Linked DNA regions of Rhinolophus ferrumequinum. The protein of the gene in region 3 interacts with the protein of the main gene of each other region in a pairwise test. Links are inferred from orthologs where the notes say so. Each region holds a gene or a part of one and is shown on either strand. Other genes may lie near its edges.

Region 1 (9,930 bases), on a different chromosome or scaffold from region 3:
CTAGCCCTGCCTCTCACGAAGCACACTGCGCGTGTCCATCCCATGTGCCTGTGGGTTGACGCACACTCTTGCCACGCCTTGAGCGTGTGTACATGATGTGTTCTATGCATTTACCCTGCCCCCCCCGCCTGCCCCGCAAAGGACAAGATGGGTGGCCCCCGGCTCCCTTCTCCCCCACCTGCCCCTGCCCGCTGTGCAGCCGTGTGCGTTGGCGTGTGTTTCCGTGTCGCTGGCGTGTCACGTGATGTAGCCGTGTTTGCTGACATGAGCCCCTACCCCTTCTGTTTCTCCATTGGTTTCTAGAGCTCTTTTCCTCCCCGGAGGGGACAGGACTCTCGGGGCCTGGCTGGGGGCCCAGAGCCAGGCCACCCTCTCCTGTTAGCCCTCAGAGACCCATTTCTCTCTATTGGTGACCAAGTTGCAAATGGATAAAACACAGGAAAATTCTGCCCTCTCTCCCCAGCCCTGCATGTCCTGTCCCCAGAGCCCCCCACCCCCACCCTGGGCCGGGTCGGGCCCCGTGGGACGGGAGAAATAGCAACCAATCCAACAGCGGGCATGCTGCGTGCTGACTTCCTTCTGTCCCCACAGGGGATGGGCGCCGTGGGGTCAGGGAGACACATGGGGGTAGGTGGGCTGGGTGACTGGGCAGGCGGCTGGACGCAGGCTTCGTAAGGTATTTTAATCCAGGGCTTGGGCAGGTACAGAATTACTGGGGCATCCTCAGGCAGGGCTCTCACAATATTGCAGAAACTGAACGGGGCTTCCAGGGGTGGGAAGAAGTGAAGACACAGGTTTCCTCAGGTTTCATTCAAGATAATGAGAAGAGAAACATCTAAGGATGGTCAAGGTTTTCCAATAATGGGAATATGACGCCCACCCCACCCCTCGCCCCCAGGAGGGACAAAGGTGGTAGGTAGGAGGAACAAGAAAGCCTCTTCGCTCTAAATCCAGGCCCGAGGCTCCGTCTGGATGTCAGAAGGCCAGCGCGAGGCTTGTGGAAACCTACCCACTTCCTGACTGAAAAGCCAGTGTGGGATGGGGCAGTTGAGAACATCGGGAAACTCAGACCCTCGCCCACCCGCTGTCAGGCCTGGGTGGAGAGTGACGACGTGCGTGCCCTGGAACTTGGAGGCATCAGGACACGGGCTCAAGGCTCACGGGTCGATTTAACGCGTGGAGAGCTCTAGGACGGCCATCTGGCCCCGGACCTTCCCCCCAGCTCTAGAATGCAGGTTTCCCTCCCCACCCAGGGTTTGAGGGCTGGATGGACGTGCCAGGCCGGGCCCCAGGCCCCAGTGCCCTTGTCACGGGGCTGAACCGTCCATGGCCCGCACCCAGCCGATGGTGCGGGTCCGACTGTCTTCCCAGGAGAACAGGGGCTCGTAGCCAAAATGGCGCTGAGCCTTGTTGGTGCTCACTGTGAAGGTGGTGTTGGCCATCGCCAGCGTGTAGGGGTTGAGCAGGGGCGCGTAGAGCAGGAGCGGCCGCAGCAGCCACTGCAGCAGGGCGTTGAGCACAGCCAGGAACATAAGCAGCCAGTAGGGCAGCAGCGGGCGGGTGCCCACCAGCCGCAGCCCGCAGGGCCCCAGGATCTCCATGTTGAAATCCTCGTAGCTCTTGTAGGGCGAGCTGTCGTAGCAGAAGTACGCCTGGCCACCCATGAGTGCCCCTCGCTGCTGCAGCTCCCGGGCCACCAGCACGTGCATCCAGGCCACGTTGCCTGTCGGTGGGGATGGGGTGGACACGCCCCTGAGCGTCCTTTCCACCAAGCAATTCAGCTCTTTCCTGGCCAGCCCGGGTACAAGCCACCTCCTGTTGGGGCCCTGCTCCTCCCAGGGACACGCTGCTGCCATAACGGTAGTCCTCTCCTCAGCCCGTGACTTGTGTGTCTGCCTTTCCCAACGTGCTTGGATGCTGTTCCCTCTGCGGCCCGTGCCGACAATGCCTACAGACAGTCGACCCTGGCCTGTGCATAGACCATCTTTTTCTAGCCAGGCTCCAGGGCAGCCCACCCCCCAGAACAAGCGGGTCCTGCCCAGGCCTCACCTACGTAGACCCGGCCGTGCTCCACAGAGGCTGGGATGGCCCGGAAGAGCCGGCCTCCCAGGCGCTGGCCCTGGTAGAAGATGTCCCTCATGATCTGGTGACCTTCACCGTAGATGCCGGTGGGACGCAGGGCACAAGTCACCAGGGGCCTCCCTCCACGGACCTGGGGACCAAAGGTAGGCACTGCTTAGCTTGGGACCCCGTGGCCCACCCTCTGCCCCAGCCTCCTCCAGCTGGAGGTGGGAGGGAGGCGCCCAGGGCAGGAGGCAAAGAAGCCCGCTGGCCGTGGCTCTGCATCGCGTCGGCTCCATCCAGCCTCACCTTCCTTCCATTGGCTTCCAGGACTAGCTGCTCAGCCAGGGCCTTGCTGCGAGGATAGGGGTGTTTGTGTACTGCTTCATATGGGGTGTCCTCATCGCCTCTGTGGGGGAGACGGAAGACTTAATGCTGAGGGGAGGTGGGGCTCTTAAAGAACCGGGGGGACGTCAGCTCACCTGTAGAAGGGGTGACCTTTGATGTTGGGCCCCACCACTTCCATGCTGCTCGTGTAGACCAGGAACTGGGTTCCAGTCTGCACACAAGCGTCGATCACGTTCTGTGTGCCTGCAGGTGCGGGGTATGTGTCCACACTGAAGCCTCCTCCCTCTGCATCCTCCCCTCCCCCATCCCAAATCTGGATGAGGGCACGTGGCTTCCTTCCCCAGGTCCAGGGAAAACCGCAGCAGGCCTGAGAGGGCCGGCCTGCCGTGACAGGGGCGGAAGTACACACAGGACAGACAGAGTGTTACAGGAGAATCAGAGGTCAAGGTCAAAGGGGGGAGAGGGACACAGACAGGCCAGATCAGGCTGTGTGTGCGCCAGGAAGTGTTAGGTGCTTTTTCAGAGCAGGTGGAGAGTCCCTCACCCTGCACGTTCACCTCATGAATGGTCTCGGAACTGGCCCTCCCAAACACGTCCACCAACCCAGCTGTGTGGATGACCACGTGGGCTCCAGCCACAGCCGCTGCCACCTCGTGGGCCTGGGTCACATCCCCCTGGATGGCAGTCACCTGCACGGGCCCTGGGAGGGGACAGGGGCCGTCAGAGCTGGGGCCACCGCCAGCTGCTGGTTCAGCCTAGTCCCTTGGGAGGCAGACATTCCCAGTGTGACTCACTCCACCCACGTGCACTGAGGAACATGAACAGGCAGCATCTTTTCCGCCAGTGAAGGGAGCCCACATCCTCCCCCCTCCCTGCCTACCACGGTCACCTGTCTGCAGCTCCTCCAGCCAGGGCCCCAGGTGCAGGTCAAAGACCCGCAGCTCATGCAGCCGGGGTTCCCGCTGTAGGAGCATGCGAACTACATGCTCCCCCAGGAAGCCACAGCCACCTGTGACCAGGTACACCAGCTCCTGGGCTTGTGCAGTGTCGGCCATGTCCTGCTGGGGAAAGACAACCTGGCTCACCTGGGTGGCTTGTCACCACCAGCCACCACCTGCTCCAGCACCAGCAGCCCACCTGTTACTCCTTAAAGGGGCCTCCGGCCAAATGGACAGACCAGGCCTGGTCCTAGTGGATGCAGCAGCCAGGCTACCTGCCCTCTGACCCGGCCAACGGCAGTTACTGAGATAAGAAAGGTGAGGGCTTGGCATGCAGGGTTTGAGGTAGAGGGGGAGGTTCTGGGACAAAAAACAGGGCGGGAGGAGGGGAGTTGGGAAGGGAAGGCGGAGAAATGTGGGCAGGGCCAGGACAGGGGGAAGGGACCCCTGGTATCACCTCTGCCTACCTGCAGCGTCGGTCCCAGGGTGCCCAGACTGGCCGCCGGAGGGGCTATCTTCTCTCGTGTCCTGGGCCAGCCGGCCAGCAACACACCGTCCTCTCCTTCCGCTTGCTTCTCCTACCTCCTCCCCATTCCAGGAACAGCCCAGCCCAACCTCCACCCGTTCGTTCCCCACTCTTGCTACCGGTCGCCCCCTGGCGGCCACTCTGTGCTTTTTCTGGCATCTGGTTCCAGCAAAGAACTTGGGAAAAGGGCGGTGGGGAAGCCAAAACCTGCTGGGTGGGCGCTGCGGGGTTTCCGGCCTCAGAACGGAGCAGGCAGGGTGACCTCACTCTTACTGCATGACGTCAGCCCTCCCGGCTTGCTGGATTTCCCAGGGGCCAGCTCAGCCGCAGCTGTGGTCCTGTGAAGGGGAGGGAGGCCTGACCTTGGCCAGCTCTGGCTGGCCTCAGTGGGGGATTTCTAGATGGCTGTTCCAGCCGATCAGGTGGCTCAGAGCAATGGTGGCTGAGTCTGCAGGTCTGGGCTCTGGCCCGAAGCCTCTCTATTCACGCCAACTCCAGGCCACCCAGTTCCCCCCTTCACTTGTCCCACCCTCTGTCCTCAACCCCGATCCCACCCTACTCTTCCCCAAATATACCAAACAAGCACTTTTGTACAATAAAGTTTAATCACAATTATAAAAATGTGGCATTGGGTTTGTGCTATTAACATATGTACAATCCAGCCCAACAGAAAGGGCCTGCCCCCTCCACCGCCCGGCCTGGCTGCGCGAGCCTCCAGACACCAGGGTGGGAGGGTGACCCACGGGGCCTGGCAGGAACAGACGATGAGGCAGGGTTCCAGGCACGGAGTCCCCAGGACTGGGGGGCGCAGGCCCCCCCCAGGGGGAGAACATGGCCACTGCCCCTCGAGACCCCTGAACTGGGGAGGGGTGCACGCAGGGCACGAAGGGGAAGCCCCATTAACACAAAGCGAGGGGGGTGTGCATCCCCCAAGGACAGGATCTGTACAGGCTGGCACCCCAGGTTTCCACAGGAAACAGCTGCTGGCAGCTACAAAACATTTACAGCTTCTTCTCCGCAAAGAAAAAAAATTAGGGGGTGGGTGAGGAGTGACAGGGGAGGCACAAGTTGCCTCAAGGGGCTGAGGCTCCCTTGCAAGGCTCAGGGCTCCCCGCTCCATATTCAGAGTTGGGGGCATGTGGGCCCTCTTGAGCCCACTAAGGCTGGGGGGCTGGGAGCTCAGGGCACCAAGGGGAATAAATAGGGGTGTGGGCGCCAGTTGGCCCGCCTCAGTTGAGGGAACCGCGGCAGCTCTCGGTGCCGCACAGACACGGGATCTTGTTGTCCTCCAGCGGGAACTTGTAATCGTAGGTGATCTCCTCATCCACGCCGATGGGCTGCTTGGAGTAAATCACGATCTTCTTCTGGGCCTCGATGGTGATCACCTTGGCATAGCAGTTGGGCTGCGGGGTGGGGGGGGCGGAGTGAGCCGCGCCCCGCCCGCGGCCCCGGCCCCGCCCCCATGGCCCCGCCCCGCCCGCTGGCCCCGCCCCCCACACACCGTGCAGCAGTGATTGATGAACCTCGCCAGGTTGCCACACTTGGTGGCATCGATGATGGTGTCGTGGTCCACCCGGAACAGGTAGCTGCTGCCAATGCCCTCCTGCGCGTAGCGCTTCTCCCGCATGTCAGCCACCATCTGGTAGGGGGGGTGCCAAGTCAGGGAGCCGCCCCCCAGCTTCCTGCCAGACTGGCGGGTCCCCCAGCCCTGTGATGGGAGTCTGGATAATCTCCATGACCCCCTGGGGCCACTGCAGGTCTCCTCTGGCTCCCACTCAGCCCAGGCGTGGACACCCCAACGTTGCGTCCCTCCTACAGCCACCCCACTGTCCCTTCGGCTGCTATTTAAGTCACTCGGAGGACCCCGGGCGGGGGAGTCCACACTGGTCACCGGGCAGAAGCAGCCACTGGCCCCCAGTGGAGCCCCCAGTGTGCCGTGGGGCTGCGGCAGTGCCCGAGATGACAGTGGCCGTTTCATGGACCAAACCCGACTCGCCTCCTCACAGGACCCACTGGCCTGTAACATTCTTACGTGACAAGGAATAACTAACTCTTCCCCAGAAAGTGGGGCACAGCCCCCTGCACTCTCCCCGCAGGGGGACTCTCGCTCGGGGCTTCAACTGCCAGCTAAGTGCTGGGGGCTCCCCCAATCGTCCAGCCCCAGCCCCAGTCCACCTGAGGGCCTGCTGGGTGTCACCCTCTAGAGGCCCCCCGGCACTGGAACCTCAAGCGTTCTGACTGGAGCCCATCTTGACTGCACATCTGCGAGTCCTCCTCATTCCTGACTCTGGCACGGCTCCAGCCCTGCCCTCATCCTCCAGAGCGAACTTGTGGCCTGGCCTGGTCCTGCCAGCTCCTTTGGCGGCCACTGCCGGGTGCAGGTGCCCCGCCTTTGTCTGGTCTCTACGACAGCCCCCCACCCCCCACTAGTCTCAGTCTAGTTCTCTCTTCACCCGAGGGAGCTGATGACCCCCGGAGTCCCCTCTTCACGTTTAATGCTCTGCACTGTTCTCACCATCAGTCCGAACCTGACGTGGCTCGTAAGCTCTGGGCAGTCTGGCGGCCACTGGCCGCCCCAGTTGTACACGGCAGCCAATGGCCTGCAGTTTCCCACCTCGCCTCGGTACCCTCCGGACTCTCTGCCTGCAGGCCCGCGTACATGCTGCCCCCCTCCCCCACCTGAGGCTGGAGCTCCTCCTCCTCCAGCTCCTGGTACACACAGCACTGCTCAAACTGCCCTTGCCTCTCTGGACTTCCCTTCTGCATTAAACAACTGCCATTCTTTACTGGCGTTGCCTGTTTACCTGCCTTCCCCACTGAACTGAGGTCCTTAAAGGCAGATACAATATTAGTCTTGTTTCTTGCTGGGTCATTACATCTAGTTTACTACTTTACTAGGACCCATTACCCATAGGGAGGGAGCGGGAAGGGAGAGGGTGGGGGTGAGAGAAGGAGGGAGGAGGAGAAGGAAAGAAAGGAGGAGAACAAAGGCAAAAAGGAGGCAGGCTGCACTGGCTAACTCTTGGAAGGTCTGTGGGGCTCTGTGCAGAGGTAGGCGGGCCTCAGGTCGGCATCCCACGCTGCCATCAGACCTGGGCCGGGCATGGGGCCTCACCTGGCGGATGTTCTGACCCACATACTCGATGACCATCTCATCTGCTGCAATGGGCTCCATGGCAAACAGGCCCCACTCGTGGATCCGGCTCCGGCCGAATCGGAGCTTCTTCTTCCGGAACTACAGGCAGAAGGCAGGCTGCTGGAGGCCTCCCTCATGCGGCCTCCTGGCTTTCCCTGCAGCCCTCCAGGCCAGGAGCGCCTTCTGGCTTCTGGGCCCACCCCCACCCCTAGGGGACTCCACAGGGACGCTGCCCCTCCCCAGCTCCGGGCGCACCTTGAGCTGGTTCAGCTTCAGCAGATCGCTGTCCACGATGGCAGAAGTGCCGATGGCACTCAGCAGCCGCCGCTGCTCAGACCGGCGCTCGGAGAGCACCCGGTTAGTCCCCTGTGAGAAGCAGGACACCGAGGGAGCAGATGACGACAGACCCCGGGACAGGGGCGCATGCCTGCGGGGCCTGTGCCAGGGCAGAGCCTCACCTGAGTGTCCGCCCCTTCCAGCTGCCGGGCTGAGACGGGGCACACGTCCAGGTACCGGTCCTTTTCCTTCTTGCTGATGGGGTAGTAGCCTTCGCTGCGGGCCGAGCCCGTCTGGTGCTCCCGGGGCCCGTCCTGGGGCCGCCGCCGGCGTCTGGGAGCGCTCAGGTTGGTGAGTGCAGGGCGCGTTAAGGAAGAGAGCGGGTTCCTGCCGCCCAGATCCCTACGACCCCACTCCCGTCCCCCTAGGCCCAGCCCCAGGCTGACCTTCGCTGGAGGGCCTGAGCGTGTGGCGTGAGGAGGACAGAAGGATGAGGAGAAATGAGTCTTAGAGCACCTTTCTGCCAGAAAAACTTTGGGAGGCGGAAGAGAGGCAGGGGGCAGAGAGAAGGGTGGCTTGGTGGCCAGAGGAGAACCACCACGCAGAGGAGAAAGCCAGGAGGCCGGAAGATGGCAGAAAAGTGGACAGGGAGGGGGACACTCCCGCGTGGCCTCGGGAAGGCCGCCCCACCCCACTCGGGGCCTGGACTCAGGATATTGGTGTGGTGGACCCAGTGGGTGTCGTTGAGCCAGTCCGCCCCGCTCGTCTGCTGCAGCAGCTGCTCATAGGTGAGCCGCAGGTAGCCCATGTCCTCCAGGTCCAGGCCCGAGTTCCAAATGTCATACAGGATGGTCATCTGCTCAAACTCGCTGCGAGCCTCGAAGGCGGAGGGCGGGGCCGGGGGCGGGGCCGGGCGGCGGCGGCGCGTGTGCGAGCGGAGGCTGCGCCGCCGGATGGCGCCGTCGCTGCTGCTGCTGCTGCCGCTGCTGCTGCTGCTCTCGGACGACTCGGAGCCCTCCTCCTCCGCGCCCGGCCCCTGCTCGCGCTGCGGCGGCTTCGGCTCCTCTGCCTCGGTCACCACCACCTCCGGGGCCTCCAGGACCTCGTCCGCCGGGGAGCTGAACAGGGCGGCGGGGGCAGGCGCAGGCTCCGGGGGCCGCGGCGCCGGCGTGGACGGTGGCGGCTTGACGGCCAGAGCGTAGTTGTGCTCCAGCAGGACGTGGCTGAGCAGCGGGCCCAGGCGGTCGGCCTCGTCCGACGTCTCCGTGGCCTCCGAGTCGTCGCCAGCAGGCAGGGCGGCCAGCCTGCGCCGGGCGGGGGTCAGAGCCAGGTCGGCCAGCACCGCCAGGTCCACCTCTGTCCCCGACTCGGCCTCTTCTTCCTCAGTGGAGCGTCCTCGGCCGGCAGCCCGGCTCCGACCTCCTCGGGACACCTCCTCGGGCCAACTCTTGACCAGAGATGCATGGTCCAGGGGCAAATTGCGAATGGTCCGCTCCACGCCGCGGGGGACTTTGCGGGAGCTGGGGCCAGGAGACCGGACCTGCAGGGGGGCCGCCGGGGAAGGCTCTGGGGCTGGTGCCTCCTCCACGGCACAGAAGGACACGGTTTTCCGGCGTTTCTTAGGTGGGGGCAGGAGGGGGATAGGCGAGGAGGGGCGCTCGTGAGGGCGGGGGGCAGGGGTGGGAGGCCCCGCCGGTGGCTCTGGCGGGGGCTGCGGCACTCGGTGAGCTGGCTCCTCCGCAGATCCTGGGAAGGAAGCAGCACAGGGAAGGGGAGAGGGTCAGCTTCTCGGCCCACCATCGCCAGACCGACCAGCCGCCCGGGGCGTCCACAACCCCCCAGCTGCCTCTGCACTGGGGGCGGGGAGGGGGCGCACTCATCCTGTCCTCCGTCCCTGACACTCCTGCCCGTCACACCTGCAGTGTCTCCAGCGCTGTGGTCCCCTCCACAGGAGGGGTTTGCACCTGTGCGTTCATACACTCCACATTACTGAGCACCAACTTCATGTCAGGTATGGAAAAATCACTGAGCAGATACTTCGAAGTCCAACAGTTACAGGAAACAAATCACAGCCCCAAAGGGGAAGGGGGAAGTGGGGAGAGGGGGGCTCAAAGGAAACAAACCCTCGGCCTCCAGAACTATATCCACCAAGTAGGTGTCCAGACCGAGATACTTTTGCCGCGGCATTTACAGTGAGGATGCAACAGCCACATCTGAACTAAAGTATCCATTATTTCAACCGCAAACAACATTCTATTTAGTGAGGTGGAAGAGATACAATGTAAAAAGCTGAATCTTTGTATTAAACTATATTATAAAATTTGCCTCCTCCCCACTGCCTCCCAAATGGCACTGGGGATCTGCTCAAGTGGGGAGGGTGTCAGGAGTCTCCCCTAAAGAAGCTGAAAGGCAGCTGACACCCCAAAGATGAGGCTGGGCTGGGGGGGTACCCGGCCTGTCTGAGCAAGCCCTGCCATTCGTCAGTCCCCAGCTGCCGCCCCCAGGACCGGGAGGGAGCGCATCCTCCCTCTGTCGGGACCCTCCAAGTCTGCTGCAGGTGGACAGCCCTTTCCCTGGAGCGGGCAGACCCTGGACAAGCCCTGTGAGGCTATTCTACGCCTCACCCGCTCACCCTAGGTTTTAGC
Region 2 (10,266 bases), on a different chromosome or scaffold from region 3:
ACAGGACTTATTTTCAAATCATCAAGACCAAACAGCGATCTGAAGGAGAAGGGGGCTTCAGCAGCGGGTGGGTCGTTTTCCCCCATGGTGACTATTTCAGGGCTTCTGACTTCCGGCTCCACCTCCACCTCCTTCACCAGGAAGAACAGAAAGCATTTGCTCCCCCATTTACAGCATTACGTCTGACGCATCTTTGTTGCATTAAATCTTTGAAATCCGACAACCCACATAAAGCGAATTCAGTACCGATTAATTAAAACGGTCCGGCAAGAACATATTGTTTTCTGAGACACAGCAGATAACAGAGAAACTTCTAGAGTTGGCAAAAAACAATGAACTGTGCTAAACTAATGACATTCCCGATGTTTCTTGGACCAAATCTTAAAATCTATCGAGTACACATCTTCAGAGATAGGCCCTTTTACCATGTAGAAGTTACTGTACCATTCTTTTTCAGAAGACAAATTACGTTCAAAGCACGTTCCTTCTCTTTGTTGTCGTTGCCGTTTGTCCCACGTAAACGCGACCCTTGGCCTGCGCATGTGACACGCCAACCACAAACATAAGAAGATTTCATACTCACATAATGTCTGCGTCCCCAAAATGTCCATGGCCCCAGGGAGGGGACACTTGCCCACAGTATTTGTAGCTTCCCGCAAGCACAAGCCTTTCCTGGCTCGCACAGGCATGACCTAATTAAGGATAAAAGTATCCGGGCCCTGGGGTGCCCAGTCCCCCCCCCCCCACATAGCAAAGGGAGGAGTGGCTGGCGTGCACTGAAGCTACACTGGGGCTCTGTTTCCTCCAAGAGAATCCCTCCTATCACAGGCCAAGAGGCTGGAGCCTCAGGAAGTCCTTTCCAGAAACTCTAAGAGGGACGGAGGGAGCAAGAGGATGGTCGAGCGTTCTAACTAAATCCCAGTCTGCTTCCCAGGTCTCAGGCATGATTCTCTAAGAACCTGCGTCCTCAACGTGCTAAATCCAGAGGTTCCAACAGGCACAGAAACATAGGTACTTAGAGCATCTGCTTTTATTTTCTTTCTGTTTACTCATTGTAATATTTGAAATTCAAAAGGGAATTATCAAGCCATTTAAAACCAGCTTCGTTTTCGTGCTCTTTCACGTGATCGTAGGAAAATCTAAGCAAGATATTTATGCGCTAAAGACATTTATTTCATTTCCATCACAAGAATAACTTTGAAAAATCTCTTAGAAAACTAATACATTCAGTAGCATTTTTTACTTTGATTCTTGCGGACACTGGATGGTTCCCATAGCATGTGGCACACTACACAGCTTCACTTTATAACAAGAATAAAAATAAATGATAAAGCACTTCCTGAAACATTGGAGCCTGGTAAGGAGGTCCCTTCCCAACAGGCCGTCATTGGCAGGTTTCACAACATCAAGAAATGTTGCTGAGTCATCTTTTAGAAGAGTCTTCTCTTCCCCTCCCTCTACTTTACTCACCATTTCTGGAGCCGCCATCATTAAGAGCAGAAATAATTTTCTTTTTCATGATAAAAGCAAGCGTGTTGGTAAGCAGGCTGCCAACAGGTGAGTCCAATCGGGAAGTATTTCCACCAAGTCACTCAGCCTTGTCGACTCAATCATCGCAGCAAATGGCATTATCGCGGGCGTCTGTGTAACTCAACCCCCGTGGGGCTATCAGATAGCCCCTGGCGGTAGGACTGGGGGGCTGGGGAGGGGAAAATGTGACTTCCCTTTAATTAGTAAGGAAGGTAAGCAAACCTTTGCAGAAACTTCACATAACAGAGTCTTTGAAACACGGGCACTCCTTTTATTTAAAAGAACAGGTAGGTCCTGCCCAGTGCAAAGCAAGCACCCCAAGCGGGCAGGGAAAACGCTTTGGTGGGAGTTTCTGTCCCCCCATGTGACTAAGCCCAAGTCTAGACTTGCAGCTGCTCTGAAGACAAAAAACAGGGAACCTGATGTGTTCTCACAGAGACACTGCACGCTCCATTTTGCAGAGACCTTTTTGTCCCAAGAGGTTTCTGCACATAATACAGCTTAAAGGTGTTTTATCACGAGAGAACATAGCCCTGCTGCTGTGGGCTGGGGACTAAGAACCCCTTTGGAAGGCTGGTGGATACAAATCATGCATTCATTTATTCAGCAAATATTTATGGGCCATCGGCCACGAGCCAGGCATCGAGACACAGAGCATATGGCAGAGGGGTCAAAGCGTTCACCTGTGGTCTCAGGTGATGACAAATGCTAGGATGGGATGAGGCTGGGAGAGACTGAGTGTGACGGGACAGGGTAGTGGGAAAGGCCTCTAGGGAGAAATGCTGTTTCAGGGGAGACCTCGATAATGGGATGAAGTGTCTTGTGAGCTAGGAAGAGAGGTTGTTCCAAGGACCGGACCATCAATGCCAAAGACCCAAGAAGATGAGCTGGGGGTGTTTGAAGAACCCCAAGAAAGCCTATGGGCCTGAAGAGATCAATGGACAACTCATGGGGGCCCCAGGCCATTGCAGGGACTCCGGTTTGATTTCTGTGTGATGAAAAGCCACGGAGGAGCCGAGAAGCGCCAAGACAGGATCTGTGCCTGTGCGCTGAGTGTGCGGGGGGGGGGGGGGGGGCGTCAGGTGGATGCACTGAGAGCCCAGATGGGCTACTGAAAACCTCCGCCACCGTGAGGTTACAAAAGTTAAATCGTAAGGTGCTAGTGGTACTGATGAGGAGAGGGCTGGAATTGGGGTTGTTGTGAAGGTAGCGTTGGTGGGAATTGTAGATGGCAGCAGCAGCCAAGGAGACATGCAGCCAGTCATGGTTGGCCTCAGACGTGTTTTCCCGCCTCCAGCCCCTGCTCATGCACCTACCAATCAATGGCTTCCGGACTGAACACAGAGCATCCTCCAAACTCTGCTCCTTCCTTCACATCTTTCCTAACTCCTCTCCATTCCCTGAATGAGTATTTGCCCTCAAAGACAGTGACAAGAAACTTAGAACTCAATCTTTCTTTGCTTTTTCCTGAGTGGTAGGTCCTGCTCCCACCTGGAGCACGACTTTGGAGGACAGAGTCCAGAATGTGCTCTCACGGTGCCTGGACAACGAGTGTGTGATGGGTTCCACGTACATCGATGAGCTGAGCAGAAACCCAAGTGGGTTAACAAGACTCTGTAGTCACAGGTCACATTCACAAGTGTGAACATCTGTTGACGAGTTGGCTTGCATGTCAGATGAGGTCAAAGGTGGAGCTGGTTTGCCAGGGGGTAGCAAGGAGAGGGTCCATGAGGGTTGCTAAACTTCCACCACCATAAAGCAGTCTCGCAGAAAGTTTACCTACAAATCAATTAAGTTCAAAATTAAATCATTAAGGAAGCAGAAATCGGCATACCTAGGGTTGCATCTGGTATTCATCAAGCTGGTGTCTTAAGTAGTCTTGGTTTGGAGGTGTGAGAAGGGACATCCTATCCGAGGACTCCCCAGAAGCTGTGAGGCTTTCATAGCCCTTTGCACACAGCTTGAGTTCTGGGCGAGGTCTCAGTCGCCACCTTGACCCCTTCCTTTAGCAGGGAAGAGAGGCTTTGGGGGTCAGTCACAGGCGAAATTGTCCATTAGGAAGCTTTAATATTTCCTCTGTTGGCCTTGGAAGGTAACTTTTCAAGCTAAGAAAAGGGATTGAGATAAATGGGCATTTCCTCACTTACACAATTAAGGGTTTTTTTAGAAAAAGAAATTTACATTTTAACATGTTATAAGCACAATTGCTCAAAAAGTGGTTTATTATTTAGAAGAGAAAAAATATATGTGAGTAGAGGCTATATTTCAGACCCCAGATCTACTCTTTTCCCTCTGGGTAACAAGCTTTGTCTATTTTCAGACTTTCGAATTTAAGATATATAATTTATTTGATAATGAAATTATTTCATCCTTTGAATCCCTCAAAGAAAAAAGATATTATTTTAAAATATAAACTTTCATTTAAAGGTGAAATATTGACGCCTTTTCCTCTGAGATGGAGAACAATACAAGTAGATGCATTATATAGATATATACCATTTCTAGTCAACAACTAGAGTCCAAGCCAGTTCAATAAAATCAAAAAAAAAGAAAGAAGAAAAAAATAAAAGAATAAAAAGGGAACAGAATAAAAGAAGAAGAAAAAAGAAATGAAAGAGGCGGGGAAGAAACTTTAAAAGAAAAGAATATGCACTGGTAAGAAATGAATAAAACTATCATTAATCATAGACAAAACTGTTTTGGGACAAAGATAAATGATTAGAACTGATAAGTAAGTCAAGCAAGACTTCTGGATATAAGTTCAATGTGAAATCAATAGTATTTTGATTACCAGCAAAAAGAATACAAACATGAAATTTTTTAAATATATAATTTACAGTGGCATCAAAAATGATCCAACACCTAAAAATAATCTAATAAATACTGCAAGGCTTCCACATAGAAAATTATGTAACAGAATTGGAAGAAAATAAAGAAGACCTGGCAATTCCATGCCAGGAATTTGACAACTTAGGTAAAACGGTCAAATTATTTGAAAAACAACGTAATATAACAGGTATAAGAAGAATACTCCTATATATGTTAAATAAATTAAATTCACAATTTGAAACTTTTGAACAAAGAAAATTCTAGGTCCAGATGATTTTACTAGTAAATATTTTCAAACATTTAAGAAAGAAATTATACCAATCTCACAAAAACCCAGAGAATCAGGAAAGAGGAAATACATCCCAGCTCATTCATGTGGCCAGAATAATGCTGACATTTAAGGTGACCAACTGTCCTTGTTTGCCTGAGACTGAGAGAGCTGCCAGGATGGGAACTTTCAGTGCTAACACCAGGAAAGCTGCAGGAAAATCAGAAAAAGTTGATCGCTCTACTGACACCAAAACCCCACAGGGAAATTACGAGAAAGGAAAACAACAGGCCAAGCTAATTTACAAACGTTGATGCAAAAATTCTAAACAAAATATGAGCAAATTGAATCCAGCAATACATAAAAAGGATAACATATTCTGACTAAGGAGGTTTTATGTTAGGAAAACAAGGTTGATTTGACATTCAAAAGTCCCTTGGTGTACATTACCTCATTCACTGAGTAATGGAGGAAAACAATATGATCATCTCAATAGATGCTAGAAAAGCATTTGATAAAACGCAACATCCACTAATCTTTGAAAACACCAGTAAACTAGGAGTGAAAAGGAATTTTCTTAGTCTGAATAAAGGTAGCTACCAAAAAGCCATTCTATTCCACATGGCACTGAAGGCCTTTGCCAGAACAATATGGCAAGAAGAGGAAATAAAGTGTAGAAATATTAGAAAGGAAGAGGAAAATTGTTATGATTTGATTACATAATTGGGCACATGGAAAAATCCAAAGACTCTACAAAATATTAGAATTAATAAGTGATCTGAGCCAGATTATTGGATATGTTGTCAATACATAAAAATTAATTGTACTTATGTTTGCTTCGGCAGCACATATACTAAAATTGGAATGATTCGGAGAAGATTAGCAGGACCTAGAGGACGGTGTCTCAGGCTTGACGCTGTTCGTGTGTTGGTCTGGATACTTTGCTTTCGTGGGCAGAGCAGCACCCCTGGCCTCGACTGCTAGATGCCAGTAACAAACACCCCCTCCTCCAGCTGACACAACCGAGAATGCCTCCAGACATTGCCAATGGTCCCTGGGGCCAGGGGCCAGAATTCCCCCAGCTGAGGACCACAGTTTTATTGCTAGTCCTGGAGGAGTCACATGGGTGTATTCACTTTATGAAAATTCGTGGATCTGTACACATACAATACAGCAACTGTTCTGAGTGTGTGTTAAACTTTACAAGGTTTTAAAATCGAAAAAGAAGTTGATGAATAACTAAAAGAACCAAAACTTTTAGCGTAAACATGGAAAATAGATACAGTGTAGCGTGATGTCTTGTTTGCAGATAAGGAAATTAAGATCCAGGGTCCCACGGGGTTCTGTGGCCAGTGGGACCCAGTGGAGAACCCTCGCCCCTCCACTCCCTCCCTCCCAGGCAGACTTGCTCCCAAATACAGAGCAAAGGTTGATCCCACACAGGGACTCGGTTGGACCTCTGACACCCAACCCCCACTGTGAAAACAGGGTTGGTAGACGCTACACCCCAGCACCCTGTAAAGAGAATTCTGAAAACCAATATCTCATGCAAACAGGATATTAACTTTTGTCAGAAAGATCAAAAAAGACTTGAGGTTTTTCTTCGCAGCCTCAGCCTCTCTTGCCTCTCCTTCTCTGGCTTTATCTACTCATTTCAGTCTGCAGGCAGGAAGAGATGGCAGCCGGGGAGACACAGGTCTACGCCAAGGTCAACAGCAAGCTCAAGGGCCGCAGCACCACCTCGCTCCTGGACCCCCTCCTGGGGATGGGCTTCCCGGCACACACCGCGTGAGTACTGCCCGGCGGGCCTGCCCCAGACCCCCAGCCTGACCCTTCTGAGGTCCCAGCCGCAAAACACTGGCTGCTCAGGGCGCTTACTTCCTGTCAAGGGGTTCTGCTTGCAGGGTGAGATACAGTCTCAAAATAAGGCCCTTTCCTGCTTTTCGTGAATGACATGACCTTTGCCTTTTAAAGAAAAACTCTGGCAGCTGGCTGATGGGGGGAGGACCCTGAAATTTGTGAAAATTGAAAGCCATGTGTCACTGTGGTGCCCCTATTTCTCGGGGTTTGGAGGAGCTCAGGGCCTGTGTACCCTCTTTGTGGGCAGCTCGGGGACTCTGAGATGATATTTTAAACTAATTTGAAAGGCCCCGAAACCCATGAGTCTCTAGTGCTGGGACCTGTTGAGAGGAGAATGTGTTTCTCAATGGAGCAGGGGACCATTCATCCTTAGGGAAAACCTCTTGAATGTCTGATAATGAAACAAAATGGTTCAGGAACTACCCAACCCATGTTACCCAAGGTAAACGACCACACGTAGGAAATTTTCACCTTAGGAGTGACCCCTGTCAGAGAGGGAAGAAGGACCCCAAAGCAATGAACTATGGTACTGACATTGGGTTACAGCTTCCACGGAAACGAGACTCTTAGCTCTGGGCCTTTCACGTGCTCATTCACATGAAAAACGCGTCAGAAGTCCCCTTGAGTAACTCTGGATTTGGGAGGGGGGCAAACTTTCCTTAAACATTATCACAAAACCCTGACCCCAGTGGATGAAATCATGTTGAAGTTGGCCAGAGCCCCTTCTTCTCCAAACCAGATCAGAACTTTGTCCTCACCTCATGCTCATAATAAACCGGGGGCCTGGGAAATGGGGAACGGGAACCAGCGTGAGCAGAGTGACTGCTGTGTGCGGATTCCGCCCTGGGCACCTGCCATCAGGTACAGACGGGGACACTGAGGCCAGAGGGGCAGCTGGTAGTAGGGCAGGGCCGGAAGTCCACGTTTTCTCACACTACTGCCGCTGTGGTGTGGACACATACTCAGAATCCCTTCACATTCAAACATTAGCCGTATGGGGGCAGGAAACATGTTTTAAGCTTCTCATTAGGCTGGGGTGTCCCAGGTAAGGCTCCAGGCCGAGGCTTCTCCAGAGAGCACATCCTGTCGGTGTTCACAGGGTGGCAGCTTTGGGCAGCAACCCCTGGCTTTCTCATCACCTCCAGCTATTTCCGGCTGAACTCCTGAATGACTTCCCTTAGCCATATTCCATTCTGTTCAATTTTGTGTAGTTCAGTTCAACTCAATATATATATATATGTCCAGTTACAACGCTTAGGCCTCAGGGGCCCAGAGGCTGAGAGGGGAGGCTAATGGACACAAGTCCATTGAGATGAGAAGAGTGGTGACCACATGTGCAGTGGGGAAACACAGGAGGGGCTGCAGGTCCACCCTAGTGGGTGGTCTGGGGGGGCTTCCTGGAAGAGGGGCATTTGATCTGAGTGTGGAAGAACCATGGGCATGTTGGCGAGGGCCATATTTGGTGGGGAGGCAGGTGTGTCAATCGGGGCCCTGGATGGCCCTTCACAGCTGACTGGAGGATCCGGGAGTGGGTCCACCTGGCTGTGGAGGAGGGCAGGGGAGACGGGATTGCAGGTGTGGGTGAGCCTGAGAGCATGGGCCCTTGGGTTGTGCCAAGGACTGGAGGTGGGAGCCACCAAAGGAAAATCAGCAGGGGGATATGAGCAGATCTGTATTTTCAAAAACCACAATGAGGCCACGCGGAGGATGGAGGCCTGAGTGCTGTACCCAGCTGTGAAGTCTCGCGGTCCAGCCCCTCCTGGGGCCCTCCAGAGGTCCGGTGGGTGGCAGGGCTATCCCTGCCCGTCCTTTCTTTCCCAGCCAATGGAAGGCAGGGTTCTCAACGCTCCTTCGTTCTGTTTTCCTTTAGGCTGAAGGCACTGGCAGCCACGGGAAGGAAGACGGCAGAGGAGGCAGCAGAGTGGTGAGTGGGGCTGTCTTTGCAGAGCCGGGGTGTGTGGACGGACCTGCTCCTGCCTGAGGACTCAGAGAGCACACTGGGACGTACCCGGTACAGTCTGGGTGGGGCGGAGGCAGGGCCACCTCCATGCCTGCCTCCCGGCACCAGGGAAAGGAAGAAAGAGCCCAGTTTCAAATAGAAAACAAAAGAGAAAGACCATCAAACAAGGCTTTCTTCCCTTAAAAATCTGATTTAATCCAAATGTGACTGCAAAGGAGACAATTCATGTGATTCGTTGAATAAATAGGGAAGAGCCCTTTTTGCTGATATAAAACAGAGGTTGCCACTCCCTCGGGCTGCCTCTGACAGGGAGAGAATTTCCTGGGGTCATGAATGCCCCCTAAGGCATGGGTACCGTGCAGCTTAAGGGGCGCCCGGTGACTGGGGCGTAGGCTGAGGAGCTGGGTTCCCGGTGGCTCAGCCACTCACGCTCTGTGACTTGGCTCACCACCCACGGCGCCCGGCCTCGGTTGTCTGCTCTGGGAATCCCGAGGGGGCACCCCGTTCTCAGACTGGGCCGCCGGAATGTGCCATGAGGCCATCTTCTTCCCCTCGGCGGGAAGTCCCCTCTGGCTCTGCCCCAGGACAGTCACAGTGAGAATCAAACAATAAAAACCAGCTCCTGTAAGGCGGCGGAGCTGTCTGCAGAGCAGGCCGGCAGACACTGACTGCACGTGCACCTTTCAGTGTCCAGCACCCTTCCCCCTCCAGGATCTCTAGGCCAAGGGCAGAGTGTGCAGCCCCTCCACGGGTCAGAGGGAAATACCCAGGGCCCCCTGGGCTCGGTGAGCTCTGAAGTCGGTGCCAAGTTTGAGTTAGAAACCAGTCCCACTGCTGTGACGGCCCTGGTTGGTCCCTGCTGGTTGTGACTCAGCCAGTAAGACTACAAGTCCCACCAAGGAGCGGGGACACAGTAGGGTCCCCGAGTCTCAGCCAAGAGTGGGCCCAACCTCACTAGTAATCAGGGAGGGGCAAATCAAGATGCCATTCGAAACCACGGGCACCTTCAAATGCTGGTGAAGGGGACGGAAGGGGTGATCGCTTACTTTCCTGGTTGCAATCTGGGGTGTCTAGTCAACACCGAGCATGTGTGTAGCCGCCTGCCCAAGCAGCTCCAAGTCTACAGACATTCTCTGGAGAATGGGCATAAGAAAATGTACAAAAATCTTAATCACGGTATTAAAAAAGGAAACCATTTAAATGTGCACCAATGGAATGAGCGAATGGAGGATTACACACATGTGCCTGACAGGATGTTTTACAGCTCAGCTAGATGCGTGTGTTGTCCACATGGGCAAATTGGGAAGACATATTGTTGAGTAAAACATACAATTACTTGCAGAATAATTTAGACGATGGCTTATAATTTATATAAAACACACAAATGCTACCTATGGATTTATGACTGAAATGTCTAGAAGAAAACCTGCCCCCCCAAGAGGGAAGGGAGCCAGGATAAAGGGGGGACAGCTGGTATTTTTTGTTATTATCAGGCAGAATGTGTTTGCACGTAAGTAATGTGTTCCTGCGTGGTTACATACTGCTTTCTAAACCTAAGGTTATCTCCCAAGCACTTCCCTGAGTCATTAGAAATTCTTTGAAACCATAATTTCTAAGGAATAGATAGGTAAATTTGCTACCGTTCAGCTCATCTTTCTTTCCTATTATAAATAACCCTACAATAAATATTTTATACATGCAGTTTTATTTATGCTTTTTGCTCTTTCCTTTCATTAAATTTGCGGAAGTAGAATTCCTGGAAATTCCGTTCAAATGGAATGTGAATTTTAAGGCTCTTGACACGTACTGCAAATTGCTT
Region 3 (10,326 bases):
TTCTCTTTTAGGAATTACAGTTAAAAAGAAATTTATAAAAGATGATCATTTTGAAGAACTAATTTCTAATTTTGCAAGTGCATAATTTTAACATCTTTTAGGGTATAATACAAGTATGTCTCTGCACTGTCAGACCAGGGCGAGAAGAGTGTTTCTGAAAATGACAAGGAGATTTTCACAAAGACTATGAAAGGCAAAATCATTCACTAGTTGGTGGTTTTCTTGCAGCTGTTTTTAAAACGCATCCTTAAAAGTTTAATTTGAAATTACAGTTTAGTATTTAATTTTAATAATATAGTCGTACTTTTGCACTTTTCAAACTAAGAAATTCATGGGTTTACTTTTACCTATATTCTCTATCAGCCTGTTTGTTAATTTCTTTATCATATAGCTTAAGAATAGGCGTTCCCTACAATCTTCCTTCCTTACATAAAAATTCCATATAGATTTATTTTTTAAATGTATAATATTTACTATTCAGGAATTAAAAATCATAGCCTTAACAAACTTGTTTCTGTCACTTCCTGATAATTATGCAAAACACAATAGTAATTTCCAGGCTAGTAGAGTGACTCTTAAATTCTGTCATTAAGAAATTCCAAATCTCTTAATTTGCCGTTACAAAATTAAGATGCAAAATATTTACTTATTTTAATTATATTAATTTCATTTATTAAAAAGCATTTACTGAGTGTCTAATATTTATGGAGATCAGAATATTTTCTTTTTTAAGAATGAGATGGGGCCGGCCCGGTGGCTCAGGTGGTTAGAGCTCCATACTCCTTACTCCGAAGGCTGCCAGTTCGATTCCCACATGGGCCAGTCAGTGGGCTCTCAACCACAAGGTTGCCAGTTCAATTCCTCCAGTCCCGCAAGGGATGGATGGTGGTCAGCACCCCCTGCAACTAAGATTGAACACGGCACCTTGAGCTGAGCTGCCAGCTGAACTCCCGGATGGCTCAGTTGGTTGGAGCGAGTCCTCTCAACCACAAGGTTTCCGTTCAACTCCCGCAAGGGATGGTGGGCTATGCCCCCTGCAACTAGAAAACGGCAACTGGACCTGGAGCTGAGCTGCGCCCTCCACAACTAAGACTGAAAGGACAACTTGAAGCAGAATGGCACCCTCCACAACTAAGATTGAAAGGACAACAACTTGACTTGGAAAAAAGGCCTGGAAGTACACACTGCTCCCCAATAAAGTCCTGTTCCCTTTCCCCAATAAAATCTTTAAAAAAAAAAAAAAGAAAGAAAGACATAAACAGACTGAAAGTAAAAGGATGGAAAAAGATATTATTTCATGATAATGGAAATGAAAAAAAAAAAAAAAGAAAGAGATGGTAAAGAATCTTTCTATTTCCATTCCAGGCCATAACGAAGAAGTCTAAAGAAGGCCTGATACAGACTCTCCAGATCCTTGGAATACTCTTTTTAAAGAGTCACACCCAACATAGGGTATGTATAGAAAAGCTGTTTTATATAACCCCACAATATTCTCAAATGATTCACAAATCACTGTAACTTCAAAACACTTCCTGTCCAAAGGAACAAACAAATTAAATCTGCATACAATCTTATTCCATTTACCAAATTGAATATTTTAAAAGTTGACCTGTTAACTGAGATTGATTCGGGGCTGGCTGGCAGCCTTAATATTGTGACATCTGGACCGTAAGAATGGCTTTAGTGGAATCTGTTTAACTACATCTTCCTTAGAGAACAGTTTGAACTTCCTATGCCCTTTTGATCAAGTGTCTACATAATAAGAAGTATAAAACCAAAACTTCCTATTTATTCAGAGGCTAAAATCTTCCTACTGCTACCTAACTTGGCCAATAATATCCAAATACTTATTTCAATTTATGATTTTCACTTATAAGAAGCTGTAGCGTCTGTGTTAAAAAGATTCCAGAACAGAAGCAATCAACTGTTAAACAGGAAAACAAGTAAACCTTGGGCTATGTGGCAGAAAGGCAAAGCAACAATGCAGTGTTTTCACTGACTAGACTTTCTCTCCGCACATCAGTCCTACAAATGAAGAAGCTTGATCTTCAGGTCAAGGCACAAATACATTGGAAATATAATGTTGGCCAGCACAGAAATATTGTGTTGCCTTGTTGCAGATCTTCAGTCCACATCTGACTTTGCATGAGTTGTAGCAATAATGTGCATAGATCTAGCAGGATGATTAACTGACCAATAGAAAACATCAGGTTGAAAATTAGAACTCTGAAAAAGACCAGACCCACAGGAGCCTCCAGTTCAAGATCAACTCATCACAACCACTCTTACCCTGAAATAACTCCAGATCTTTCCCTCAGTTTAGTTAGGGATAAAGGACATCACCAAAGAAGGGTAGATGCAGAGATAAACTGTCCCCAGATCTCCAAGCTATCTAGTTAAGAACTCAAGTGGTCTATTTTGAATTCCTTTGCATCTTTTAGTGCAGCTACTCCCAATTCCCTTCTAGAGGTAGTATCAATAGAATTTGGAAAATCAAAGAAATTCAAAAAGATAAATGATTACAGTCATGGCTGCCAAATCCAAAAGTCTATTATTGCAAAGCCCTTGAATTGAGAAAGGTCTCTCCTGGAAGAGTTCATGCACAAATAAGGTTTACTACTGCAATTCGATATGAGGAGAAATAATGGTTGAAAGACCTAAATTGTTACTCTTGGAAGCAGTATATACTGGTGTCTTCTGGGCCAGCTTTAAATGTGAATACATAAGTCAATTGCCTTGGTTATAAAACTAACCAAATAAACAAGTAATCAATTGCTATTAATTCTTGTCTCCAGAATGCATCTTACCATTGCAAGATTTTTCTGTGTTATCAAAACTGGGTCTGAAGCCAGTAAGGCCAAGTGGTTTAGTCGGTCTCACAAAGAAACTGGAACTAGAGTTGTTTAAAGCTACATTCTCCCATTACTACACATAATTCAGAAGCTTAGGTGAGTTTAATGCAACCTCTAAAATATCTGACTTAACTCAGCCCACATACCTACTGGTAAAGAAGCATGGTTACATTTATTATCCCTATTGATATCTTCTACCAAAGACTGGGGGAGACAAAATTCACGTAAGTTTATACACTGCCTCTTTTACAAAAAGAAATTGAGAATAATTATCGTTATAAAAATGAAGCAAATCCAAATAAATGAATACAGAAAATAAAATGAAGGTAGAGATCCCAACTCTATGACACACAGTCCTGTTCAGTGGTTAGGACTAGGAAGGCATGCCACCTGGTGTTGTCCCCCAGAACTTGGAGGTGAGCTTTGGTGCAGCACAAATTTCCATGGATTCAACATTGGGCAAATGGCAACATTACTCAAACATCCAGGTTACCTCTCTAGAACTCTCCACAACACATTTGAAAATGGACTTCATTGTGAAGTTTTACATGACATTCTTTCATAATTCTGAAGAATCTTCCAAAATTAATCCCAGTCGTAATTTTGGAATGCAACATGAAGATCACTTTGGGAACACATTACAAAAGCTGCACGAAACACGCCATTGTGTGTGCATGCACATGCACACACATAAACATAATTTCTCTTTGGGATTATAACTCCCTAAAAAAAACTTTCAAGGCACAATACACTGCTTTATATACCACGTCTGAAAAATAATAATAATTGCACTAAGTAAAATAAATAGTAAGGAATAAATTAGAAAGAATCCAACAGATTCTTGTTTTCACGTTGTGCTTAAATTATAGGTTAAATGTTTTCCTAGCCAGCAAGCTGGAGGCTGTGGGGGAGGAGGGGAGAGCTAGATTGCATGGATTCTTTCTGGCTCATGAAAGATAAATGTAAATTCCTAGTTTCTTCCCTATTGACTCAATAAAAATATAACGTCCTTTAACCAGACGGAAGCTACTGACTTAAATTCCATTTTATGCTTTGATCCAGAACTACCTGTCTTCGCAGAGTTCCTGCAGTGCTGGGAAAATAGCATAGGCACAAGTGTCTCCAGTGGCAGCCATCGGGTGCAGGGGTTAAAAGAGAAGAAGAAAAGGCGTTTCTTTCACCTGTCCTGCCTGAGACTCGCTGACCACAGACAGGCAGCACGTTCCATACCAGCCTTGCAACAAACCTGGTTTGGCTCCCAACTCTTTCCTCTTTGTAAGAGCTGAAGTTTTTCTGAACCTAGGTACCTGATCTCGCATTCCAAACGGAATGTGTCCGAGGAAACAGTAGGGGAAGCTACCTGCTGTGGTATTTGTGTTATAAATGTCTTTTTTCATTTTGAACCAGCCGGCCAAATGCACATTTTGAAAGGCACCCTCTCCTACCGTCGTCGAGTAATAGGAAAACAGCCCTAGCCTCGCGCCGGGAGGGCGCCCCCTGGTGGTCGGACGTTTCGTAAACGCCGCGACGCCTGCGTTCACCCAGAGGCTCAAAGGACTCCGGCGTCGGGCTAGCGGCCGGGAACCCCGGAGGCCGAGTCGACATCACCCGGGAAGCGGCGGAGACGACCGACGTAGCCTGGTCCACCCTCACCTGGAGTGGGGGTACATAGGCCAGCGCCCGGAAATAACGCATGCCACTTCCCCTGCTGTGTCTAAGTTCCAAACCCCGGGCGAGGGGGGTGAGCCCTGGAGAAACTTGGAGAAGGCAAGGCGAGAGCGCCGCGCGGCAGGGTACGCACTGGGACATTCTAGAGGGAGAGCTGTGGAGAAGGCAGCGAGTGCCAGGGTAGCTGCGAACGGTGGTGGACTGGAGCTGGACCAGAGGAATCAAGCACCACGTTTTCCTAGCACTGTTTCAAGAACTCTAACCTCGCTCGGGGGCAAGATTGCAGGTGCTATTCGGAAGTATTAACCGTACTTCCCTGTAAAGTAAAAACATTCTGTAAATCATTTGAATCCAGTAATAGGAGTGTGGCTGCGGGGGGTGTTAATTTCTCACTGGTGCTCCCACGTACAAGCACGTATCTTGGTAAATGAACGGCAGTTAAGAGCAGTGCGTATGTATGCATTTCTAGCGTTAATTTCTATTTTTTAAGCACGTAGGAAAACACGGTCCACCTTCAAAATGGACAATAGGATCTTGTTGAGAAATGTTCTAGATGACAAGGAGAGTAGGAAATGAAGGATGACTCTTCTGGGTAAGTGGAGGAGGAAATCTGCAGTGGAACAGTGAGACCCCCTCCCATTTCAGAAGCCGGTAATGTCGCCCTTAGTAATCGTGTATACGTGTATTACTGAATTAACTAATCTTAAGGCTTAGATTGTAGAATTTCCTTCAGTGTTGTGCCAAAGAAAACAGTAAGAAAGATCCAAAAACTCCCCTTTTAAAAATAAAACCTAGTATTAAACCGAAATCTACAAATCAATAAAATCAAAAGCAAATCACGGCCAGAGCAGAAGGTACTTGAAATCCGAATCTGCATTCCGTTCCCCTTGTACAAGGCTCTGAGGTGGGGGAGGCGGTTTGTGCTGGTGCCTGGTGTATAATCGGGTTAATCCAGTAGACAAAGAATAAACCAATAGCCCTCCCACCTCACTTCCCGCTCCCCTCCCCCTCCCCCCTTTTCTCTCTTCGTCGCCCCCTGGGGTAGGGGTCAGAAATAGGGAGAGGTGGGCTTGAAATGGGTTCCGAATAAAGTCTCAAAACCTGCAACTTGTTTTAAATGCTAACACTCCATGGCCCGGATTAGTTTTAAATGTTCTTTCCCGTTTCCTAGTGGCGAGGAGAAAGTTCCTCATGGCTCGTCCTCCAGGGCTCTGGGGAAACCTTAAGGTCAGTGTTTCCTTGAAACTAGATAAACTGACCCCGCCGTGCCCAGTCCGGCCCCGCAGGCGCCCCGCGTGACGGCGCCCGGGCGGCAGGACCGGCCTGGGGACGCGCGGGGCGGCGCGGTTGCCCTTTTGAATGCCTCCTGCGGCTCAGAGCGCTGGCGGGCGCTGGAGTGTGAGTGAATGTAGCCCCGCGGAGCCAATGAGCTGGGACCGGATGCGATATATCCTCTGGGACAACAACTGCTCTGTTCCGCCTCGGATCCACATGACGCCATTTACTGCTGCCGCGGCCGCCGCAGAGCTCCCTGCCTCCTCCGGAAAGGCGAGGGCGCAGGCCAACGGCGAGCCCCCCCGGCCGGGCCCCAGACCCTCCTTCTCCTCCTCCTCCTTCTCCTCCTCCTCCGCACCCACCGCCCCCGCCTCGGCCTCGCCGCCGCGCCTCCACAACGCCCAGTCTGCACTGCCGAGAGCTGCACGCCGCAGAGCGAGCGAAGGAGAGGGGCCGGCGGAGCGCGCAGCGCCCAGGCCCCCGCGCCCGCCCGGCCCGGCCCGCGGCCCCGCGCCCTCGCGCCGCCTCCGCTACGACGCGGTGGTGGCTGCACGACTTGGCCATCTGGCCTTAGGGTCTCTGTAAGGCCGTTTTCTTTTCTCATTCGCTCATCTGCCAGGAAAAGAGACTCGCCGTTGGCGCTTCGGCCTCCAGTTCATTGAGAAAAAAAAGGAAATACTCCGCGTGCGCTCTGGAAAGGGGGTCGCCTCCAGCCCCGAACCCCGGAGTGTTCTACGGCCGGGGATTTGGCTCCGGATTTTCCTCTCCTTTTTTTTTTTACTCCCGCCGATTGCTCCGAAGTTGGACTGGAGCAGAGTTTGGAAAGAAGGGGGGCGGGGGGAAAGTTTGCATCGGGGCTGGATTTATTTGCACATCGCAGGAAGAAGAGATCCAACGGAGAGGGGTTGGTGTAAAGCCGCGATCACGGTGAGACGCGTTCTGCTCCTCAACTCTTGGCGCTGTGGTCGGCGCTTTGTGGGCAACATGGAGTAGGTGCAGCCGGACCGGGAGTGGGGTCTCTCTCCTCCGGCCTCCTTTCTCTAACCCCGCAGTTTCCCGGCAGGGGCTGCATTGCGTGCGCGTTGTAGTGTCCCCGGCCCCACGCGCCCGCACTCTGGGCAGTTGGGGTGACGGACGTCTCGCCTCGAGTCGTCTCCCGGCCCTGCATTGGCCGCGAATTCGGCGCTGAGAGCGAGAGAGGGAGGGAAAACACTTAGTGTTTTCCTGGTCGTCGTTGCAGGCGCCCGCATTTCTAACCTGTTCCTCTCCGGGAAAGGCAAGTCCTGGGAGAGGCTATCCCGGGGCAGTGGCGCCGGCGGGACCCGGGCCACGCGAGGCGCTCGCCTCACGGGGGCAGCGAGACCCCGTGGGTGAAAAAAGGACGGAGTGCCGGGTGGAGGGAGCCCCCGCCTCTGTCCGGTGTGGACAGAGGCAAGCCGGGTGCGGGTGGGAGCGTCGCCCTGCCTGGCGCCGGGTCTCTGCGGTTCGGAAGTGCAGCTCTCTCTTTTTTCCGTTCTCCGTGGTCGGCCTGGGTCATGCTTTTTTTATTTTTGGAAGATTGGGCTGACCCAACACCGGAAGAAAGTCATCAAGCGGTCGCGATCATTTTCCATTACCTGAAAATAGGTGGCAAAAGAGGCTAGTTTTTTATTTCCTTTGGCTGATCTACTTTTGTTGCTGCTGTTTTTTAATTCGGAATCTTGTGCGTCTTTTACAAAGCAGTTTCTGTGTCGGTTTGCCCCACCCTGTGCTGAAGTCCTTTTCCCCTAATCCTTACTCTAATGATACAATTCTTAATGGGGATTTCGCGGGGCGTGGGGGCAGAATGGGGGAGCACGCAGGGTGGGGGACGCTGCGAAGGAGGCCAGAAAGCGACAGAAATCACTTTTGTTGAAAAAAAAAAAAAACCTCCCAAAGATGCTCCATTCCACTGCAAGCAAATCTGCGCGGAAAGTTCCCAGTCCAGGGATCTGGTTCCTGCCTGCCAGACGTGTGCAATGGGGTGGGGCCCAGAAAAATGCTCTTTCCTTAAACAATTCTTGTTTTATTTTAAGAAATACAGGTGTGTGTATGTGTATATTTTAATACATAGGCGTGAAAACATTGCAGGCAGTGTCTCTTTGGTCAGTGCACAGTGGAGTCGCCCAGTGTGCGTGGGTGCCTCGGTGTCCCGGGTCTGTGTCCGGCTTTCGTCTTGGCCTCGGGGCTGGAAACCTGTGCCTGATGTTCGAGATCCTTCTCGGGAACGCCCTGTGGTGGGCTACGTGACCTCAGCCTGAGAATAGAGTGGGAGCTCCGTTTTAGAGATGGGAGGCGGTTATCTGGAGCGGGGTAGATTTTAGCTGGAAAAGGAGGGGAGGGGGAAGTGCTCGAGCGTTTCACAGCACGTTCCCTTCCGAGGTGCCCGCGCCCCCCTCCTGTCTGTCGGTCTTGGAATTGTGCGCAGGGGGTCCAGCCTGGCCTCTAGGTTGCAGCAGTCCACCCGGAATAAAGTCCCTCGGGGCCCCGACTGTGTCCCACCTGCTGGAGACGGTGTTGAGGCGCAGATAGAGTCGATAAACGGAGTGAAAGCAAAGAGCATCGTTGTCTTGTCTGCCTTTCTGTTGCAAGTGAGATCCGGTTTCCAGCTCTGCCTTGTTCCGAATTGGGAGGCGTGTGTCACCTGCTTGTGTCCCTTTTCTAAAAAGTGGAGGTTGGATAAAGGTCCAGGTTTCGCCGTTTTTCTTCATTGTAGACTTAGTGGTAAAGGGGATGATAGTTTTGAAATTTATAAACGGATTGTCGTTTACACGATTACTTGTCAGAATGATAGATTTGAGATTTGGCACTTGAATTTTTAAAACCCTTCCTGTTATCAGCAGCCGGTTTATGTTCTCAACTATTAAGTTTTTGGAGATGGGCAAACAACTTAAGATTTTGACATAATTTACTTCTAAAACAGAACAGTCTTTCAACAATAGAATTGAAGTTCTAGACAGTCAAGCTGTAAAATATTATATATTTGATTCTAAAGTTGAGAAGTTGAAAATAAGCTCCTGTTTTGCTTGTTGTGTAGTTTGCGTTATTGTATTTCTGGCACCTGACAAGATTTGAATCAATTCGCTTTTTAATTCTATACCTTTGCCACTATACAGTTAAAGGTAATGCATGATTGTTGTAAAATTTATAAATATTCCTTGGTGGGGAAATACTTACTTTTTACATGTTATTCATCCTATGGGATTTTTATAAAGTTACAGAATATTAGATAAATCATAGTTCAAGATATTTGATGTAAAATCAGACTTAAAGTTGGAATTTAGAAATTCCAACTGTATTCATTGACATTTAAGACAAATGGCCATAATCTTAAACCTGTTTCAAATTTGGAAAAGGTGTTCAACTTTTGAAAATGTCGGTAGCAATGTTATGTTCTAACATTACTTTCTTGCCATTTTTACATTGAACCTGACCCTTGGAAATTTTGTTTATTTGCATAAGGAATTGATACTTATGTAATTGAAACAAAGACTAGCTTTGTGTCACTACACATCACAGGATTAAAGAATTGTCAATACCCAGCCATAATTTTACAGGCATTGATCATATGGCTATTCTCATAAACTCCACAACCACTCCATTTCAAATCCTCTTTCTCTAGGGGAAGTGGGAAGTGAAGAGTTAACTCAGGTGGGTGGAGAGTGGGGAAGTATCCTGGAGTGTAAACCTACTCTTTCCTCTTGCTTTCCACAGGAATTCAGATGTGTTCTAAGCCTGCTGGAGTGACCACACTTTCAAGACCTGATGGAGGCCAGAGCTCAGAGTGGCAGTGGGTCGCAGCCCTTGCTGCAGGCACCCCGTGACAATGGCAGGCAGCGTGGGGAGCCTGACCCCAGAGACACCCTCACCCAGCAGGTACACGTGTTGTCCCTGGATCAGATCAGAGCCATCCGAAACACCAATGAGTACACAGAGGGGCCTACTGTGGTCCCGAGACCTGGGCTCAAGCCTGCTCCTCGCCCCTCCTCTCAGCACAAACACGAGAGACTCCATGGTCTGCCCGAGCACCGCCAGCCTCCCAGGCTCCAGCACTCGCAGGTCCATTCTTCTTCAAGAGTCCCTCTGTCCAGGTCCATCAGCACAGTCAGCTCTGGGTCTCGGAGCAGTACGAGGACAAGTACCAGCAGCAGTTCCTCTGAACAGAGACTGTTGGGACCATCTTTCTCCTCTGGGCCGGTTACTAATGGGATAATCCGGGTGCAGCCCAAATCCGAGCTCAAACCAGGTGAGCTTAAGCCCCTGAGCAAGGAAGATTTGGGCCTGCATGCCTACAGGTGTGAGGACTGTGGCAAATGCAAGTGTAAGGAGTGTACCTACCCAAGGCCTCTGCCATCAGACTGGATCTGCGACAAGCAGTGCCTTTGCTCAGCCCAGAACGTGATTGACTATGGGACTTGTGTGTGCTGTGTGAAAGGTCTCTTCTATCACTGTTCTAATGATGACGAGGACAACTGTGCTGACAACCCGTGTTCTTGCAGCCAGTCTCACTGTT

What was found. The genes of interacting proteins can lie anywhere in the genome.
Region 1: the proteins of SPRY2 (region 3) and HSD3B7 interact in binary tests that used the Homo sapiens proteins (3 or more experiments, as listed by UniProt). The two-hybrid records come from large-scale screens. The link is inferred for Rhinolophus ferrumequinum from reciprocal best matches to the Homo sapiens genes SPRY2 and HSD3B7.
Region 2: the proteins of SPRY2 (region 3) and UBASH3A interact in binary tests that used the Homo sapiens proteins (3 or more experiments, as listed by UniProt). The two-hybrid records come from large-scale screens. The link is inferred for Rhinolophus ferrumequinum from reciprocal best matches to the Homo sapiens genes SPRY2 and UBASH3A.

Annotation. Positions count from the first base shown.
Region 1 is NW_022680357.1:358,098-368,027, forward strand, and holds HSD3B7 (3 beta-hydroxysteroid dehydrogenase type 7), read right to left. Parts: upstream 3,965-9,930; 5' UTR 3,815-3,964; intron 3,652-3,814; 5' UTR 3,547-3,651; intron 3,471-3,546; 5' UTR 3,465-3,470; coding exon 3,299-3,464; intron 3,110-3,298; coding exon 2,954-3,109; intron 2,653-2,953; coding exon 2,544-2,652; intron 2,471-2,543; coding exon 2,371-2,470; intron 2,213-2,370; coding exon 2,050-2,212; intron 1,724-2,049; coding exon 1,308-1,723; 3' UTR 664-1,307; downstream 1-663. Other genes in the region: histone-lysine N-methyltransferase SETD1A, read right to left, coding at 5,103-5,276, 5,375-5,512, 6,989-7,108, 7,265-7,375, 7,468-7,640, 8,003-9,031. UniProt on the Homo sapiens protein: The 3-beta-HSD enzymatic system plays a crucial role in the biosynthesis of all classes of hormonal steroids. HSD VII is active against four 7-alpha-hydroxylated sterols. Does not metabolize several different C(19/21) steroids as substrates.
Region 2 is NC_046285.1:106,351,339-106,361,604, forward strand, and holds the start of UBASH3A (ubiquitin-associated and SH3 domain-containing protein A), read left to right. Parts: upstream 1-6,302; coding exon 6,303-6,415; intron 6,416-8,357; coding exon 8,358-8,411; intron 8,412-10,266. Other genes in the region: TMPRSS3 (transmembrane protease serine 3), read right to left, coding at 1-131, 1,471-1,491. UniProt on the Homo sapiens protein: Interferes with CBL-mediated down-regulation and degradation of receptor-type tyrosine kinases. Promotes accumulation of activated target receptors, such as T-cell receptors, EGFR and PDGFRB, on the cell surface.
Region 3 is NC_046287.1:30,473,468-30,483,793, reverse strand, and holds the start of SPRY2 (protein sprouty homolog 2), read left to right. Parts: upstream 1-6,203; 5' UTR 6,204-6,722; intron 6,723-7,689; exon of another isoform or gene 7,690-8,498; intron 8,499-9,527; 5' UTR 9,528-9,578; coding exon 9,579-10,326.